Arabidopsis thaliana: one gene and its partner. The protein of the gene in region 1 interacts with the protein of each later gene in a pairwise test. Each region holds a gene or a part of one and is shown on either strand. Other genes may lie near its edges.

Region 1 (4,148 bases):
CTAATTCCGGCGCCGGAAAAGTCTTATACTCTAACCCAATCAGATTCCGACAACCTGGAACTCACTTTCCGACAAGCTTCTCTTCTTTTTTCTCCTTCTCTATAACCAATGTCAACCCTTCTTCCATCGGCGGTGGTCTCGCTTTCGTCATCTCTCCCGACGCAAACTCAATCGGCATCGCTGGTGGCTCTCTTGGTCTAACCGGTCCAAACGGTTCCGGTTCAAAATTTGTCGCCGTCGAATTCGATACTTTAATGGATGTAGATTTCAAGGACATTAACAGTAACCATGTTGGATTCGACGTAAATGGCGTAGTTTCCTCTGTTTCCGGTGATCTTGGCACCGTAAACATCGATCTCAAGAGCGGCAACACCATCAATTCATGGATCGAATACGACGGATTGACTCGGGTCTTCAACGTATCAGTCTCTTACTCAAATCTGAAACCGAAAGTTCCAATTTTGTCTTTCCCTCTCGATTTAGATCGATACGTGAACGATTTCATGTTCGTTGGATTCTCCGGGTCAACTCAGGGAAGTACAGAGATTCACAGTATCGAATGGTGGAGCTTCAGTTCATCATTCGGGTCGAGTCTCGGATCCGGATCCGGGTCACCTCCTCCTCGGGCTAATTTGATGAATCCGAAAGCTAATTCGGTGAAATCTCCGCCGCCGTTGGCGTCACAACCGTCGTCTTCAGCGATTCCGATCTCAAGCAACACTCAATTAAAAACTTCGTCGTCGTCGTCTTGCCACAGCCGTTTCTGCAAAGAGAATCCCGGAACAATCGCCGGAGTAGTAACCGCCGGAGCTTTCTTCTTAGCACTATTCGCCGGAGCTTTATTCTGGGTTTACTCCAAAAAGTTCAAACGTGTCGAGAGATCTGATTCATTCGCATCTGAAATCATCAAAGCTCCGAAAGAGTTCAGCTATAAAGAACTCAAAGCCGGCACAAAGAACTTCAACGAGAGTCGTATCATCGGACATGGAGCCTTCGGAGTCGTATACAGAGGAATATTACCGGAGACCGGAGACATCGTCGCCGTCAAACGATGCAGCCATAGCTCACAAGACAAAAAGAACGAGTTTTTATCTGAACTATCAATAATCGGAAGCTTAAGACACAGAAACCTCGTGAGATTACAAGGATGGTGTCACGAGAAAGGTGAGATTTTGTTAGTCTACGATCTAATGCCTAATGGTTCGCTTGATAAAGCTTTGTTTGAGTCACGATTCACGTTACCGTGGGATCATCGGAAAAAGATCTTGCTTGGTGTTGCATCTGCTTTAGCTTATTTACATAGAGAGTGTGAGAATCAGGTGATTCATAGAGATGTTAAGAGTAGTAATATAATGTTAGATGAGAGTTTTAATGCCAAGCTTGGAGATTTCGGATTGGCGAGACAGATTGAGCATGATAAGTCGCCGGAAGCAACTGTTGCCGCCGGGACGATGGGATATTTAGCGCCGGAGTATCTTCTGACGGGTCGTGCTTCGGAGAAGACGGATGTGTTTAGTTACGGAGCGGTGGTTTTGGAAGTGGTTAGTGGAAGAAGACCGATTGAGAAGGACTTAAATGTGCAAAGACATAATGTTGGGGTGAATCCGAATTTAGTAGAATGGGTGTGGGGTTTGTATAAAGAAGGGAAAGTTTCTGCAGCTGCTGATTCTAGGCTTGAAGGTAAGTTTGATGAAGGTGAGATGTGGCGGGTCTTGGTTGTGGGCTTGGCTTGTTCGCATCCGGATCCAGCATTTAGGCCCACTATGAGGTCAGTGGTGCAAATGCTGATTGGTGAGGCTGATGTACCGGTTGTGCCTAAGTCTAGACCCACCATGAGTTTTAGCACTTCGCATTTGTTGCTGAGTTTGCAAGATACTCTCTCTGATTGTAATACCGTGGCTTTGAACTCTAGTCGATCGTCTTCGTGGTCGGTGCCCGAACATAACGTTATCATTCGAAGCGACGATGACCATTTGGTATAGATATATTGGAGTTGAACCAAACAGATGTGTTTTGTGTGTTTGATTATTTGATTTTTGTAATATTCAATTCATTTTTGTTATTTCAATGTATGTAAGATAAGAACACAAAATTGGTTTCTTAGAAAGCCATTAAAACATCGGGACAAACCAATCCATACCCAAGCTGAACTAAAACCAGATCAAACAACCTTAGTTTTGGTAGATATAATACGGGCCTAACCTAGCAAAACAAAAGATACGGATTGAAATCGAAATACCTAAAAAGTAAGGGGTCCAAAATAATATTTATGGATTAGTGAAAGTGGCGATGTAGTGGATAAAACACGTGTGTATATTATCTCTGTGTGAGTTTGTTTGCGTCTTATTAATCTCTGTGTCGAAAACAGATCCTCGTTTCCTTTCCTCCTCTCTTCCTACCATTAGTACGTTACTGGAGCTGATCTCACGTATATTTTGGATCGTAATCATGGACGGCGAAGATTTTGCCGGAAAGGTACCGTCAATCTTCTCTATACTTTCACCTTTTGTAGAATTTAACGGTATCTCCGTTGAAATCGAGATGATTTTACCATAATAGCTCCTCTTCTGCGATCCCGGAATGTGCAATCGATTTCTTAAGGGTTGGATTCGTGATTTGTGGGCTATTTTGTTAATGATCTAAGGAAATTATGTGATGTCTTAGCTTTTTAGAGGAATAGAAAAAAATAATCATTTGCATGCATTGCTGGACAACATTGCACGCTTTGCAATAATCTCATTCAGTATACATGTTTGCTTGGTCCTAGATTGTTGTTTTCTATGTTTGGTATCATTTATGCATACATTGGTCTGAATTTCATAGGCGGCTGCTGAAGCCAAGGGATTGAACCCGGGATTAATCGTGCTGCTTGTTGTTGGAGGTCCGCTTCTTGTGTTCCTAATCGCCAACTACGTGCTTTACGTTTATGCTCAGAAGAACCTACCTCCAAGGAAGAAGAAGCCCGTTTCCAAAAAGAAGCTCAAGCGGGAGAAGCTAAAGCAAGGAGTCCCTGTCCCTGGAGAATAAAAGCCAGCTTAAGCTTCCTTCACTTGTGCCTCCTTCAAAGCGGTTTTTGTTCGGTTACCAAATTTCACCCTTGCGGGTTTTTTCTTCCTTTACTTCTGTCATGAGGATTATCTTGAGTCCTGTATGATTTCACATGGAGAGTGTAGACTATTGTTTTGGTCTGACTTGTTTTTCCTTCATACACACATTTGGTTGCTACTGTAGAGTCTCTCACATCATCTTTGCTACAAATTCTCATCTTCAATATCATTTAACTTATTTACTATTTAGATGTTACTTGGTTCCATTGTTACGGCGCTACCAATCCTGCTTTTGCTAAACCGAATAGCTATAGAGACAAGATGTGTATATTCACAGAATCAAGACGCAAAGAGAGTCAATATTTGATTTTTACAAACAGATCCATCAACTAAACTATCATTGACGTCCCATGATTGTTTCGTATCAAGTTGTTTTATTAGCTCAATAATCACAGATGTATAAGAGACTAAAACTTTCATCGTTTTGATTCGTTTTGCGATACGATTTCCGGATTCTTAGTCCAGTGTTTGATCCATTTCTAGACATATAAGAAGAAAGAAGTTGCGTCGTCACTTCTACGAGACTCAAGGAGTCTGGAGCTTTTACATGTTCATACCTGGAAAATCAACAAGGAATCCAACATCTCAAAACAGCCAATCTCAAGGAAATTGAATCAACTCATCCCTACAATACTGTTTAGCAACCTAAAACATCACAATTTCAGCGGTTTGATAAGATTACAGTTTAGGGGAAGCGATTCAAGACATACCCAGCAGATAGTTTTGCTTCATGGCCTTCTTCAAATCATCTTAACTCAAATTTGTTGTACTCATCAGATAAGTTGAGATGTATCCTCTTTTCGTAGTTTGTATAGCACTGCATTTGTTGCCCATCCCGCTTGTCTGTAGCAACCCAATGTGGTAACCAGTTCATCCTACAGTTCCAATTTGAAAATAGCAAGAGAGAAAAAAACATTGAGATTCTTGAAATTTGTCATCATTTCTGCAGCAATAAGTAAACCGTCCTTCAGTATTACTCAATAGGTAACCAAAAATATTAAACAGAACAAGATTTTGTTACAATCAAGTGAAATAATACCT
Region 2 (5,399 bases), on another chromosome or scaffold:
CCTATTAAGTAAATTATTGAAAATTGATAGATCCATAACTTATCTTGGTGAATTGGAAATTTAGAACATATCAAAACATTTTTTGTTTAAGAATAATAAAATGACAAAATAAAATAGTCATATACTATAAGAATTAAATGTGAATGATGCATAGTCACGACACTTACATAAATTACTACGTTACTTTTTTATATTAAAATAAAAAATCATACCAAAAAATTACTAAGTTAAAACTGGCAATTATATCTTTGCATTACTATATATTATGTTCAGAATATAAGAATAATAAAGAACCAAAAAATGGGTGCATGAATGTAGTCAGTTTTGGCGATGAAGAGACTAAAAGAGTGGTGGGGTTTCACAACGCATATCACATGGCCTGTCCTCCAATTCCAAAATAAAGGAGACAACAACGTTTGTCTTCTCTTCCTCCCAAAAACACTCTCACCATTTTTGGCTTTTTTCACCTTATTATTATATAAATATCCGTTTTGGATTACAATGTGGATAAAAAAAGTTACATTAGAATTTGCCAGTGGTGAAGAAGAAGCCACAGTAGCCGACACTGATGCAATTGTTGGCAACCTGTTACTATATTATTCAATTGTGTTTGACCAAACAAATTATAAGAGAATATACTTTCTACATGAAAGCAAAGAAGATAACTTATATTATAAGATAAATGCTTTTTATAACCCTATAAATATGGCTAAGCCATGTGTTTTTCTTATGATATTGATTATTGAATTGAGTTGACTAGAGAACAACCAACAAAAATGACAGACTTAACACTTAAAAGAAAAAGAGAAAAAAGAGAAGAGTTCCATATTGTTTCATGATTGTTATGCTGGCTACTTGAACTTATACGGTTAAACCCAAAGATTAAAAAATAGAACTCAAAGAATCAAACTTGTAGCATGAGAATGATGTTCAATGGATAGTGACATTATTAAAACAATGAAGCGAGTTAAATGACTTTCAGACACAAAAAAAATAGATGGCTTCATCATCATCAACAATATAGATGAGTGTTTGGTGCCAATAGAATACATACCCAAGTCAGGTAAGTAGGTAACAGAGTTATTATGAAAGAATGAATGTTACAGAGATTGTGTAATATTCAGAACCATATTGATACATCTTGCTGCTGCTGCTGCTGCTGCTGCTGCTTCCCCATTCCTTCCATTGCTCCGGTTTGCCAATCATCTCTGTAATCGAATGCTGCCATATCGAATGGTGTCGAATCAAACACCATCTGGAACCGATTGTTAACCCCGTTGTTCGTCCCTTGTTGCATAAACATTTGATTGCCACTGTTGAAATTCAGCTGCTGATTCTGAGCTGCTTTTGCATCAATGACCATGCTTTGGTTTTCCATCAAAGTAGGAGGCGTTTGGTTGCTTTGGACATTTCTGTCGTACATGGCCATAAGCTCGGTGATCATCTTCTGCCCGTTTTCCGGAACTCCAACGCCCGATAGGTCGATCGGTTGGACTGGTTGCTGAGGAACTACTAGTTTCATTCCACCCATATGAAACTTGGATGCTCCATACGCTAAACGATTGTCTCTATATGGACAAACCATCTGGTGGTTGTCCCTTGAACTCCTGTCTTGAAATCCAAGATTCATTTTGCTGTGAGGACACTGACCATTCTCACAAGTGTAACCTGCTGATCTGTCCATTACCATAACATTCATATCATTGTTCTGCTTCCTCTTTCTCGTGAACTCTAAGTTTACCGTGGTGGCGACCTCCTCCTTTATGGGAAAATGTTGCATTTTAGCAACCCCAAAGCTTGCTAGAGGATGCATCATCACTATCTCTGGTTTCCGCTCTTCCACATCGAAACCATGTTGTTCCTTCTCGAAACCTTCAACGTCATACTCGCTACAATCATTAATGAGAAGCGACCCGCTTCCTAATGATGAAGAAGAAGAAAGAGGAGGGCATGACTCGGGATAAAGCTCCCGAGCCACAACCTCTTCTTGGTTAATAATGGCAAGCCAAGTAGCACTCTCTTTCGCCGTCATCTTATCCTGCAAGCATTTTGATTGCCTCACAAGCTTACGGATCTTCGCAATATCCGGCGACATATGCTTGATCACCGCAGTTAAAACACCGACTTTCCAAGCTTTCTTCAAATCATGAGGCTTCTTATAAGGAGGAGGACCTTGCTCATTTGGTAAACCAAGCTGAGGCCACCACTCTTCATTCCCATTAGGCCACCAAGGTGGAGAAACTCCTTTCTCCAAAGGAAACCGTCTCTGCGGTGGATCACAATGTTGCATCAAAGCCGATAAAAGCGAACCAAGAGTCGTGTCCTGAAGCTCCTGAAGCGTATGCGGTGTTGGACCAACCAAGCTGTTACAATCATTACTCCCTCCAGAAATATTATTCTCTGACTGATACTTAGCAATAGCAGCTGGACCATTACGATCAAACCTAACCTTATCTTTCCACCATTCCCTCAAATTATCCGAAGCACCAGTCACAGGCTTACCCTTCTCAGGAATAATACCATAAACAAAGCCTTGAGCTTTACAAACTTCCATCATCTTCAACATATACTTCAAGATCCCATCTTGGGCTCTAGACATTTTCTTCCTCCTAGCTTGCTCTTGCGACTGCCTCTGTTTCGAACCATCGACGCCTTCTTTACACTTACTCTGTTGCTCCTTGAGACGTTTCAAACGCATTTTGTCTCTCCACATCCTCTTCTCAAGCTCATCCACATCCATCTCATCATCGGTGTAGTCGACATCTTCAACTACAGGTTCTTGTTCAGCTTGTGGTAATGGACACACATCGAGAGATGTGGAGGAAGAGAAGAAATCCATGTTTCCATACATTCCCATCTCGTTAAACATCATCATGTCTCTTCCACCACAATCAAGAACAGAGCCTATCGATTTCTTTAACCTGAAAAAGAAAAAAAAACTTATAAGCTTTCTTTGATCAAACAAATCACCAGAAGCTAAAAACAACAAATCAAGCTTAAGGGTCAAAAACAAAAAAAAAAACTAAAGAGACTAAGAAGTAATGTTCTCATATCAATACATAGATTGTCAAAATGAATATTATAGACAATAAAACCAAACGATCTAGAAAGAACAGAGAGCCAAAAAAAATCGAAAGTATTATCAACAAAAAATAGAAACAATAATAAGATAAGAAAAGAGACAAAGAGTGTTTGCCTGAAAGAGTTGCAAATAAAGAACACCAAAAGTGGTATCTCTCTCTTGTTTTATAAAAGAAACAGATAAGGAAGTCTTGATGAATCCCCACAACTTCAGAGATGGAGAATAAGAAGAAAAGTCTGTTAAAGATCACATGGGAAGAAAGAAAGAGACATTAATTACTGTGTGGTGGTTTCTGGGTTTGTAGAGTTTGAAGATGAAAGAGAGAGAGAGAGAGAGAGAGACAAGAGGAAGAAGCAGATGCTTTGGTGGGGGGATTTAAAAGATTTAATAACGTCGCACCGTTTCAGTTTTTTCTCACTTTTTTCCAAAATATATAATAAATAAATGAGCATTGATTGACATTTTTAGGATCAAAATGAATGCAATATTCAGTCATAGTCGGTCCGGTCCACAACACAAGATGCGGTAATTGCAGTGTTTGGGAACCAGACCGGGCGTTCGGACCTGTTCTACCGGGATCGCCCGTCTAGTCCAATCCGAGTTGAGTCTACTGTTCACCGCTAAAAAACGCTAAAACTGATCAATATAAAAAAACGGGAATAACAAAATCTAAATCGGAAAAATATTACTAAAATTAAATTTATAGTAAATATTGATTTATATCTTTAAATTTCAACAAAACTAAATAGATATTAAATTTCTGTTGATTTTTCTAATAAATACTGAATATTCGTTGACAATGGCAATGGCTTGAAATGCTAATTAATAAAAATTTGACAACGACCAGATTACACGCATATATGATCCGCATGCAAAAGATGAACAACAACAAGCGCTAGAAAAGGATGAACGTTGTAGAGGTAATAATATGATAACATTAGATCCAAATAGCAAAAGCTCATTAGAATAGTTATGTTACTTTATAATTGGAGACAAAAATTTCACTTTGCTTTCAAAGCAGATTTAATATATAATTTTTGTCTCATATTGAAGGTACCATTGCTTTATAGGAACAATGTTGACGATTCCAGTTTCGGTTGCATCTGCTTAAAGAAGTTTTTCAAAGCTGAAGTTGATCAAATCGTATCTTCGGTCGACTATGTCACAAGAAAGATTGAGTGAGTTGGCTATATTATCAATCGAAAGAGAATTGGTTAGAGACATTGATTTTGAAAGCTTGGTTAACGATTTAGTGGAGAGGAAGGGTCAACAACTGTTTAAGAACTAATATTTAGTTTGTCAATTTTCTTTTTCTTACATGACAATGATGTTTATTTTTTGTAGACGATTTTTTTTTTCGTAAGGATATTTTATTTTTATTCGCTTCTGATACTTGATAGCGCTCGTACGACTCTGGAAACTCAATAGTATATATGAAGCTAAATACGCTCTATATACCACATTTGATGAATTTATGCCTTGAGTCAAGGCATAAAATTCATCTAATTTAGGGATTTTTTGCTTTGACGAAAGCATAGACGAAAGATATAACCTGAGAGAAGGCAACACTGATTCAGTCGAAGACAAGTGAAAACATTCTTCTATCAATACAAGATCGTAACATAAACGTGAACAAGCTCTACTAACTACGAATAATGATAATGGGCTCCATATTTAAGTTATATAGGCAAATGTTTTTGACTTTTGTAACAAAATCAAATTTATCTTCACTTTTCCTAACCTTCCTTTCGCCAACCTCCTCACCTGAGACATGAAGAAGAAACTCTCATGGATCTTAGAGTAAATACATAAATTTCACAGCTCGTCTCATCTTGTACATTGATTTATACATTGTCTCATATACCATCCCTTACACAGTATTAAACACCACTTGTACAGAGTTAAACACACCATCTTGTATACTATCTTTTACATAATCTCACATTATCTTGTACACGGCCTTGTACATCATCTTATACACCTCTGTTTATACCATCTCATACATCCCTTCACGCACACAGCCTAGTATATTATTTTGTACTGAACCATATGAATTATCCCATACACCGTCTTATACACTACCTCGTATACATTTTTGTAAATTGTCCGATACTCTCATGTGATGTAATTTTAACCATAAATACACATTACGCATATGCGTGGTATGTCATTGGAGTAACTAAAGATTGAATCAAATCCACGGGAAAATGCCATAACAGTATAACACATTAAATTATGATGAAATCATTTGCCATAAGACGGTATGAGAATCTACGGTCTCACTAATACCCTAACATGCATAGAATAAAAGAAGGGA

The links. Proteins that work in one complex are often made in the same cells at the same time.
Region 2: the proteins of AT3G53370 (region 1) and EIL1 interact in a two-hybrid assay, tested with the Arabidopsis thaliana proteins (one large-scale study listed by BioGRID).

What each region holds. Positions count from the first base shown.
Region 1 is NC_003074.8:19,787,038-19,791,185, reverse strand, and holds AT3G53370 (S1FA-like DNA-binding protein), read left to right. Parts: upstream 1-2,278; 5' UTR 2,279-2,448; coding exon 2,449-2,475; intron 2,476-2,823; coding exon 2,824-3,027; 3' UTR 3,028-3,334; downstream 3,335-4,148. Other genes in the region: AT3G53380 (Concanavalin A-like lectin protein kinase family protein), read left to right, coding at 1-1,982.
Region 2 is NC_003071.7:11,543,790-11,549,188, reverse strand, and holds EIL1 (ETHYLENE-INSENSITIVE3-like 1), read right to left. Parts: upstream 3,534-5,399; 5' UTR 3,197-3,533; intron 2,922-3,196; 5' UTR 2,876-2,921; coding exon 1,121-2,875; 3' UTR 896-1,120; downstream 1-895. UniProt on the Arabidopsis thaliana protein: Probable transcription factor acting as a positive regulator in the ethylene response pathway. Could bind the primary ethylene response element present in the ETHYLENE-RESPONSE-FACTOR1 promoter.